2 linked regions of the Mus musculus genome follow. The protein of the gene in region 2 purifies or fractionates together with the protein of the main gene of each other region. This does not show direct contact. Links are inferred from orthologs where the notes say so. Each region holds a gene or a part of one and is shown on either strand. Other genes may lie near its edges. The genes, in order: Nmt1 and Acbd6.

The links.
Region 1: the proteins of Acbd6 (region 2) and Nmt1 purify together in Homo sapiens (co-immunoprecipitation; 3 studies listed by BioGRID and IntAct, with this or other methods). This does not show direct contact. The link is inferred for Mus musculus from reciprocal best matches to the Homo sapiens genes ACBD6 and NMT1.

The regions. Positions count from the first base shown.
Region 1 is NC_000077.6:103,062,769-103,066,583, reverse strand, and holds part of Nmt1 (glycylpeptide N-tetradecanoyltransferase 1), read right to left. Parts: intron 2,777-3,815; coding exon 2,609-2,776; intron 1,855-2,608; coding exon 1,717-1,854; intron 837-1,716; coding exon 816-836; 3' UTR 1-815.
Region 2 is NC_000067.6:155,556,389-155,560,942, reverse strand, and holds the start of Acbd6 (acyl-CoA-binding domain-containing protein 6), read right to left. Parts: upstream 2,824-4,554; 5' UTR 2,306-2,823; coding exon 2,084-2,305; intron 1-2,083. UniProt on the Homo sapiens protein: Binds long-chain acyl-coenzyme A molecules with a strong preference for unsaturated C18:1-CoA, lower affinity for unsaturated C20:4-CoA, and very weak affinity for saturated C16:0-CoA. Does not bind fatty acids. Plays a role in protein N-myristoylation.

The sequences.
Region 1 (3,815 bases), on a different chromosome or scaffold from region 2:
GCCAGCTCAGAAGCCTTCTAAAATCACTTGGTAGAATAGTGTCCTCCGGGACAAGGCCCAGGAGATGGAAGAGGGACTTGATTAATGAATCTACTTCCATGATTGTCACCACTTCCTGGTCTCAGGATGCAGTAGTCTGGCCTCTGCCCAGGGCCAGTTCCACCCTAAGAGCTTGTCCTGTCATGCTGGAGATCTGAGCCCTCTCCTGAGCTGGCAGTCCCTAGACCTTACCTCCTTGCTCAAAGCCTGCTTGGCAGCCAATTCCAAAGGGGAACAGGTGAGGCTCCCCAGATCCTCTTTCTCCTGCTGCCCCTGACAACAGCCACCGCTTCTGAAGAGACAGTAATTGTGCAATGCACATCTGTCTGCTGCTGTCCTTGGGCTCTCATTGTGAAGAATGACTGGATTCAGTTCTTTCTCATCAGAGACCAAACATCCTTGTACATTTGGAACATGAAAGATATTTAGAATATTTATATATATATAATATATATACTTTTATTATTCACCCGTTAACTCCATAATATGCCAATCACGAGCTAGGTTTCAGCAGTTACATTCCCTTGATCACGGCTGCATGAGCATGTTAATTCATTGAAAATAGGGAGACCAGAAACATGGCTAAAGGTGACATCACGCAGCCTACGCCATCGCAATATAATTGTCAAGTTCGCTGGCGGTTTGGTAAAGCCGGTTCAGTTCTGTTTTGTTTGCCAGAGATCTCACATCTGTGAAAGTTGGACCAACAAGTGGAAGGGTTCCGTTTCCTGGTTTGAATTCTCAGTGGCTTTATCCAGAATCTCACTGGCAACTGGTTACTGTAACACCAACCCAACCTAGGAGAGCCAATGGGGAAAGGTCATGTTGAGTTGACAATACGCAGGAACTTTCCTGCCTCCCCAGGCGTGTAGGTCAGGTCTACTGAGTTCAGAGGAAAATGTCTGCCATGGGAGGGCAGATGCCGAGCCCAGACCTCTTAACCCAGCCTTTGCTGGGTTTCTATTTCCTTCAAGGAAGAACAGTGGTGGCATCCTGAAGAACACTGGGCCAATGGCTTCCAAGGCAGCTCCCGGTCAGTGTGTCATAGACACTGACCGGTCCCCTGACCGACCACCCTGCAGTGGGGCGTGAAGGGGCAAGAAAGAGCCACACTGAGACAGGACAGGCAGCCTAGACCAGGGAAGGTGGATCTAGAGACCCTAACCTCATAGGTTAACTTCTGAGTCCCTCAAAACTGCATGCCTGATGGTGCAGGTCTTATTCCCAGCTACCGAGGAGGCAGAGGCAGGGGGATCTTAAGTTCAAAGCCTGCTTGGGCTATAGATTGAGCCAGCCTGAAAGACTTAGATCCTGAATCCAAAAAGAAAAGTCTGGAGGCACGCCCTTCAGTCTCAGAATTTGGGAGGCAGGGCAGGTGGATCTCTGTGATCTGGGAACTTGAGGCCAATCTTTGTCTACATGGCAAGTTCTAGGTCACAATGTGTGACTGTGGCTGGAATTTATATATATATATATATATATATATATATATATATATATATATATATATATATATATTTATTTTAAATTTCAAGGTACACAGTTAACCAGCATAAGTGAGGCTGTATGACCAAGCTCCAGAACTACTATACATGCAACCAGCACTACAGGGTGCCCTGCTCCCACAGAGCAGAGCTCCCTGACCAACAGCCCGGCCTCTGGCTGTGACACACATACCTTCTCGGCCCCCATGCTCGGGCACTTCCAATTGTACAGGTAATACTGCAGGTTGCCGTCCCCTATGCCGAACTTGAGCTTCTCCAGGAATGTCTTGTTCTCCATGAGATCCAGTGCATTGAATACGTCGAACCCTTTCTGCAGGGCAGCAGGAGAAAGGGCAACAGGTTACCTTCCTTCCCCCGTTGGCCTACAGGCAGCCACAGGGCAGGCTTCCATCACAGGTTCCAGCGGCATCCTGGTTAGTGCTCACTCTCCAAATACGCTCCCCAAGACAGGCCTCAGACCACCCACAGCCTGGCCTTTCCTTGGTGTCTCCGTGAGTGGACAAAAACTGCAGGCCGTTCCTCCTGGAGTCCGCTCCGAAGCTTCCTAGCTCTGGTCACTGAACTCCCAGGTTCCCAGTGTGCACTGACTGAGCATGCTTGACAGGCTGCCCGAGGCTAGGACTAGGACATTTCTAAAATCTCACCCAACTGACCTGATGACCTCATGGAGAAGAACTAGCCTGTGCAGAGGCTGGCCTGGTACAGAGGGACCCCAGAGTCATGAGAAAGGCAAGTAGACAACAGACAGACCTACCACTATGCCTGTCAGTTGGAGTCAGCCGTCCATTCACTCACTAGGACAGATCCCAGGCTCCCCTCCCATGCTCAGAAAGCCAAAAGAACCCTAACCCTGAGGCTGGCTGGCCAGTCAGGCCCCAACCAAGGAGTGACTCCTAGCCCTCTTCTAGACTGGAGTTGTGGCTGAAAATGGCTGGGGCCTTGCCTAAGAGCTGGAAACTAAGAGCTTGAGGCTTCCCACGCTATGGGCAGCTAAGTCCTGAGATGTGCTCACTAGTACTACAAAGCCCCCACCCCGAATCTCCCGAAAGTGGTCTGCTCCTCACCATTTTGGCTAGAACGAGGGCGTCGCTCATAAGGTCTAGAAGAGGGGTCTGGGTGTGGACGTTGTAGAAGGAGTACGCAGCTTTCAGACTCTTGTGGGTTGGATGGTTCATGATCGTGGAGGGAAGTGTATAAAAGCTCAGGAAATCAGTCACCTCGCCGTTGGCATTCTGAAGGAAGAGTAAATAAACAGGCGGTGTCACACAGGCAAAGGAACAGCAGCCCAGAGACCATGGAGCGCCCCCCCCCCCCCCCCCCCCCCGTGTCCAGGCAGCTGACTGGCTGGGAACTGGAGCAGGGGAGGGTGAGCAAGACGCAGCACACCAGCTAAGGCTGGGGACAGCCTCGTGGGGATTGCTTCTGATGCTGTGTCTTACTTCGGCTCTCAAAATCTACATGTCCAGACGCTGGGAATCCCTGTCTCCAACTGGTTTTTGATTGAATCAATAAAGAGCCAGCATCCAATGGCTGGGCAGAAAGACAGAGGGACCCTTTAGGATTCTAGGAGAGAAACACAGAGAAGGAGCAGAATTGCCATGACAGGGAAGCAGAGAGGTCAGACTTTAGAGCCCGCTGACATGTAAGAATTTGGTAAACTCTCCCGATTGGGTCTGGGACAGCAGAGAGAAAATATAGATTTTATATTGGGTAGGTGCAGAGCCGCACACACCCGCCAGGAGCAGAGCCGTGTAACAATTCACTGCTACAGATGGTGTTCAATGTATTACAGGCTTGTACCCACTATTGGAAATTAATTAGAAATCCTCAAATAGAATACACATGTGCCATGATGTAAGATAAGGAGCTGGGAAGAACTGGCTTCTTAGCAAGCTACAGATTTTGCCTGAGCCACGTGGAGATTTCTTCCCATGGTTCAGAGATTATAAAGAGTTTGGGCTCAGAGGCACTGGGAGCCCCTGCTATGTGAAAAGACAGGCTGCTTGCAAGCCAGGCAGAGACACGGCAGAAGCTACATGCCTCTCACAACCAGATAAATAAAGAACAGAGATGAATAAAATTTGATTTAATTGTTTTTAAGGATAGAAAGGAGTATAATAGTAATTGTTTTAACTGTGTTTTTTTTTTTTTTTTTTTTTTTTTTGTTGTTGTTTGGGTTTTTTTTTTGTTTGTTTTTTTGTTTTTCGAGACAGGGTTTCTCTGTGTAGTCCTGGCTATCCTGGAACTCACTTTGTAGACCAGGCTGGCCTC
Region 2 (4,554 bases):
TTATCTTATGAAATATACAGATAATACCTCAGAGTCATTCAGCATTTCCAAATGTTAACATATTGTATTAGAGATTAGGGAAATTTCACATTCATTATCCTCAACACTTATCTCTGTGAGCATTGGGCAGTTATCAAGCTCGTGGTGGCAGACCCTGCGATTTCCAAACCTCTACTTTTCCTTTGACAACTCAAACATTGCCACTGGCAATGAACATTTACATCTGTCTTCCAGGTTTACTTCATCTTCAAGAAACCATCTGCCAAACACCCAAATCTAAACAGAGTTCACAGAGTTTTTGTTAAATAAAAATGAAGTCTGAGGGGACTGGAGAGATGGCTCAATGGTTAAGAGCACTGTCTGCTCTTCCAGAGGTCTTGAGTTCAATTCCCAGCAAAAGCACATGGTGGCTCACAATCCTGGAATCTATCCTGGGATCTAATGCAGTCTTCTGGCATGCATGTAGGTGTACAAACAGATAAACCACTCATATACATAAAATGAATAAACATTAAAAAAACAAAGAAGTCCAAGGACTTTGTAATTCAATTCTATCTGATTTTCCTCAATTTCCTTAAAATAACCAATGTAATCAGGTATGTAGCAGAAGTGCTTACCTGTTCTTCCCATTACACAACTTTTTGTTTGTTTCGAGACAGAGTCTTACCATGTTGCTCCATCTAGCCTGCAGCTTGCTGTCTTGATCTCATGGAGATAACCTGCCTTTGCTTCCCCAAGCCGCTGGGGTGAAGGGTATGTGCCAGCATACCTGGCATCACACAAAATCCTTGCACAGGGATATCTCTCAGTCCACATCATTACTAGCATGTGCTCATAATAACCATCAGTCCTGTAAGAAGACGTCCTCTACCCAGAATCTCAAGTTCAAGACTACAGGACAGTTCAGTGTGTAGCCAACCGTGCTTGCTACCAAGCCTGACAACCTTAGCTGAATCCCTAGGACCCACATGGTTAAAGGAGAGAGCCAACTCCTGCAAGTTGTCCTCTGACCTACACTGACACACACAAACTCAATAAAAACATAATTAGAAATACAGGAGGGTTCTCATGACTACCTTAAAAAAAAAAGAGTTCAGGAGAAATATATGTAACTATACCATAAGCATTTTTTTATTCTAATAAAATAAAAGAGACTACTATCCAGAACGTCATTTCTTTCAAAGTTCCAAAGAGCTGGGGTTTTCCTATTTTCCTAATCATCGATTTTCTTTTCACATTTGCATCTAGATTCCTTAACTAATCCTGTAAGCTTCTTAAAGGCAGTGTCATGATGTTCTTTCATCTTTGCATTCTCTATAGACAGAACACCCAGTGTTCTGCTGAACTGTATCTGTCCACTGAAGGAAGGCAATAGTCTTTCCTTCTGGTACCTAACCTTGAAAGATAAATTAGTCTTATGTTTATAACTCAAACCTGTCCTTACTTTATCGGGTAAAATTCAGTTTTAGAGACAAAAACTACACTTTAATTCTGATATATCCATGTAACTTTCTAAACTGCCTACTCCCCTGGGTTTTCTATTTGGAAATGAAAGTGATTCAGGAAGCTGAGTGGAGAGTTAGTTCATCACCAGACCTCCATGTTACCTGCATGGAGCCCTTAATTTTAAAAATGTGGAGGGACTATATCTAGCAGGACCAAATTCAGCCAAAAACATAACAACTATATTTAGAGTTCCTAAGAATCATAATAGTAATATTGTTAGCATCTTATACACAGTAATGTTCTCTTAAATTTCAAACTTATTATTAACATTACCATGTTTCCTATCACATGTCCTTCTGGCAACAGCGAATGCCAAATTTTATTTTATCATCCTCATTTTGTAAAGGTTCAGAGGCAAGGCCACTGAAACATTGTCATTCAGTGCCCGGCTACATAAATATTCGTTGGATATCAGAGAGATTATTCCATGTCCAGAATGATGCTATTCTCCAGGGTAAAAAACAAAAACAACAAACACACACATACAAACTTCATTACGCTCGACCATTAGCCACGCAATCTGCTACTAAGTTTTTGGAGGAAACAGCCCACGTCCTCTCATCCACCCATCTTTTACCTGCTTGAACCTGGCATACAGGTACAGGAGCTGCTCCCGGCTGGCTACCTGAACCAGGCCTTGGACGTGTGCGGCAGCCTTCTCAAACAGCTCGGCCAAACTCCGGGTCCCCTCGGCCTCGGGGGTCTGGAAGGATTCCATATCACCAGAGTCGTCCCCGGAGCTCAGTTCCCCACCGCTGTCGCCTGTGGTGGCCCCCGAGGGTAGGAACGGTGTGGCCATGTTCACTAGCTCGCTGTGGCCGGTCCTCCCCGGTGTGGCGCGGGTTCCCGGGCCTGATCCACCGGTCCGGGTGCGGAGCTCGAGCGGGAGTGGGAACGCAGTGAGCTGTCTGGCGGTCTCAGGTGATTCTGCCACTCCGCCTACCCGGGCGCACAGGACCGCCCCGTCCTCCCCCGGTTTCCCCTCGGGCTTCGCCCGGGTCGCTCCAACGGTGCGGGGTCTGGAGGCCGCTCGGCTGGAAGATGAGGGGAAGCCGGCGGCGCGGCGCGTGCGGCTGGGACGGGAGCTGGGAGGTGAAGCGGGGCGCGAGCTCGGCGGGTCGGACGCGCACCCGGGCACGCGCCGGTGGATACGGGGCCCCGCCTGCTCCGCTAGCGTGGGTTGCGGCGGCCGCGGTGCGGGATGGAGATACGGGCCTCGGTGACAGACAGGGGACGTCGCTCGTGGTTTTGGGGGGGACTTCGGAGTCACAAACTCCGGAACTCACCCGGATAGGGCCCCCAGGGGAAAGGGAAGGAGGCGGTCCATTAGTGTAGCTGCTAGAGTAGAGTCGCGGGAAACAGAGAGCTGAGGACAAAGGTTCCGCCGTTTCCTAACCACCCACTCTGACTTAAAATAGCGAGTCACCAACAGATGGAAACCTTCCTTCACTGCCCCACCGTGTGTCTAAATGGTTAGATGACTCTCTCCCATCAGTGTTTTGTTTTCCAAACTTGCTGCCCCCTCATTTCCCAGCGCTTTGAGAGAAGGCATCACCAGGCCCCCAAACCTGCATCATCTCATCTCAGTTGTGCCTCACCAGGCCCCCAAACCTGCATCGTCTCATCTCAGTTGTGCCTGTGCTTCTTGAAGTGAAACCCAGTTCTATAGCTCTGCCGGAAAGGAACAGATCTTTCCACGTCCAGCACACTGTCAAAAAGAAAAAGTGTATGCATACACAAAGTTCATTACGTCTACACGCAGACCGTGTACATTTGCTATCAGTTTTTACGAAAAGCACGTTTTGGTACTCTCTCCTGCAGGAATTTGAGAACCCCAATGTGGAATGTCGCTTGAAGAAACTGCTCTCAGTTTTTGGGGTGTCTCACATCAACTGTGTGTGTGTGTGTGTGTGTGTGTGTGTGTGTGTGTGTGTGTGTGTGTGTGTGTGTGTTGTTACTAGTAGTACTAGTAGTGGTGCTAGTAGTAGTAGTAGCTTTCACCAACCCAAAAGCTAAGAATGTCGTCAACTATCTTCTTGGGCCTGTAGGAAAGTTTTCCCCGTCTCAGTGTTACTGCTTCTCTGTGTACCCGCCAATGTATTTTTAGTTTGCTTTGATTTATGACTTTCTTTGTTCTGTAAAACTATGAAACTGTTTCCACATTGGAACTTGGAATTTGGGGTAACCTAAATTTGTAGTCACTCGAAGTGACTCCAGAATAAACTATTATTTATCTTTAAGATGAGTGTGGTGATTTGAGTAAGAGTGGCCCCAATAGGCTCATATACTCGAACGCGTGGTTATCGGGAAGTGGTACTACTTGTGAAAGATTAGGAGATAGGGCCTTGTTGGAGGAAGTGTGTCAATGAGCTTTCAAAAGCTCAACCCAAACCCAGTGGCTCACTCTTCCTGCTCCCTGTAGATCTGAGATGTACACCTCTCAGCTGCCTCTCCAGCACCACGTCTGCCTTCGTGCTGCCATACTTCCACCATGATGAAAATGGACTAACCCGCTGAAACTGTAAGCCAGCCCCAATTAAATGCTTTCTTTAATAAGAGTTGTGGTCATGATGTCTCTTCACAGCAATAGAAACCCTAACTAAGATAATGAGGGATGTGATTTTGGTATCAGCAGTGGCTAGTATGTTCTAAATATGGTAGAGACACACACTCATGTGTAGTCATTTATCACTAGTAGCTTAAAACTAATAAAAACACTAATAAACATAAGGCTAATAACAAAGAACTACAAAGAATGGTTATTGATTGACCATTTAGGATTAAACTTTCAACAGAACTTTGAACAGGATAAGTGAACAATGAGAAACAGGAAGAAGTTAAATGGCTTGGGTCTGACTTTCACGAACATTCTTTGAGAATAGAGAATGTTTCCACTATTAGTCCCTCCACAAAAGGAAAAACAAGGACAAATGCACACCTTATAACATGCATAGTGGTTTGAATAAAACTGGCCCCCATAGGCCGGTAGAGAATGGCACTATTACGAGGTGTGGCCTTGTTGAAGTGGGTGTGGCCTTGGGTGGGTGT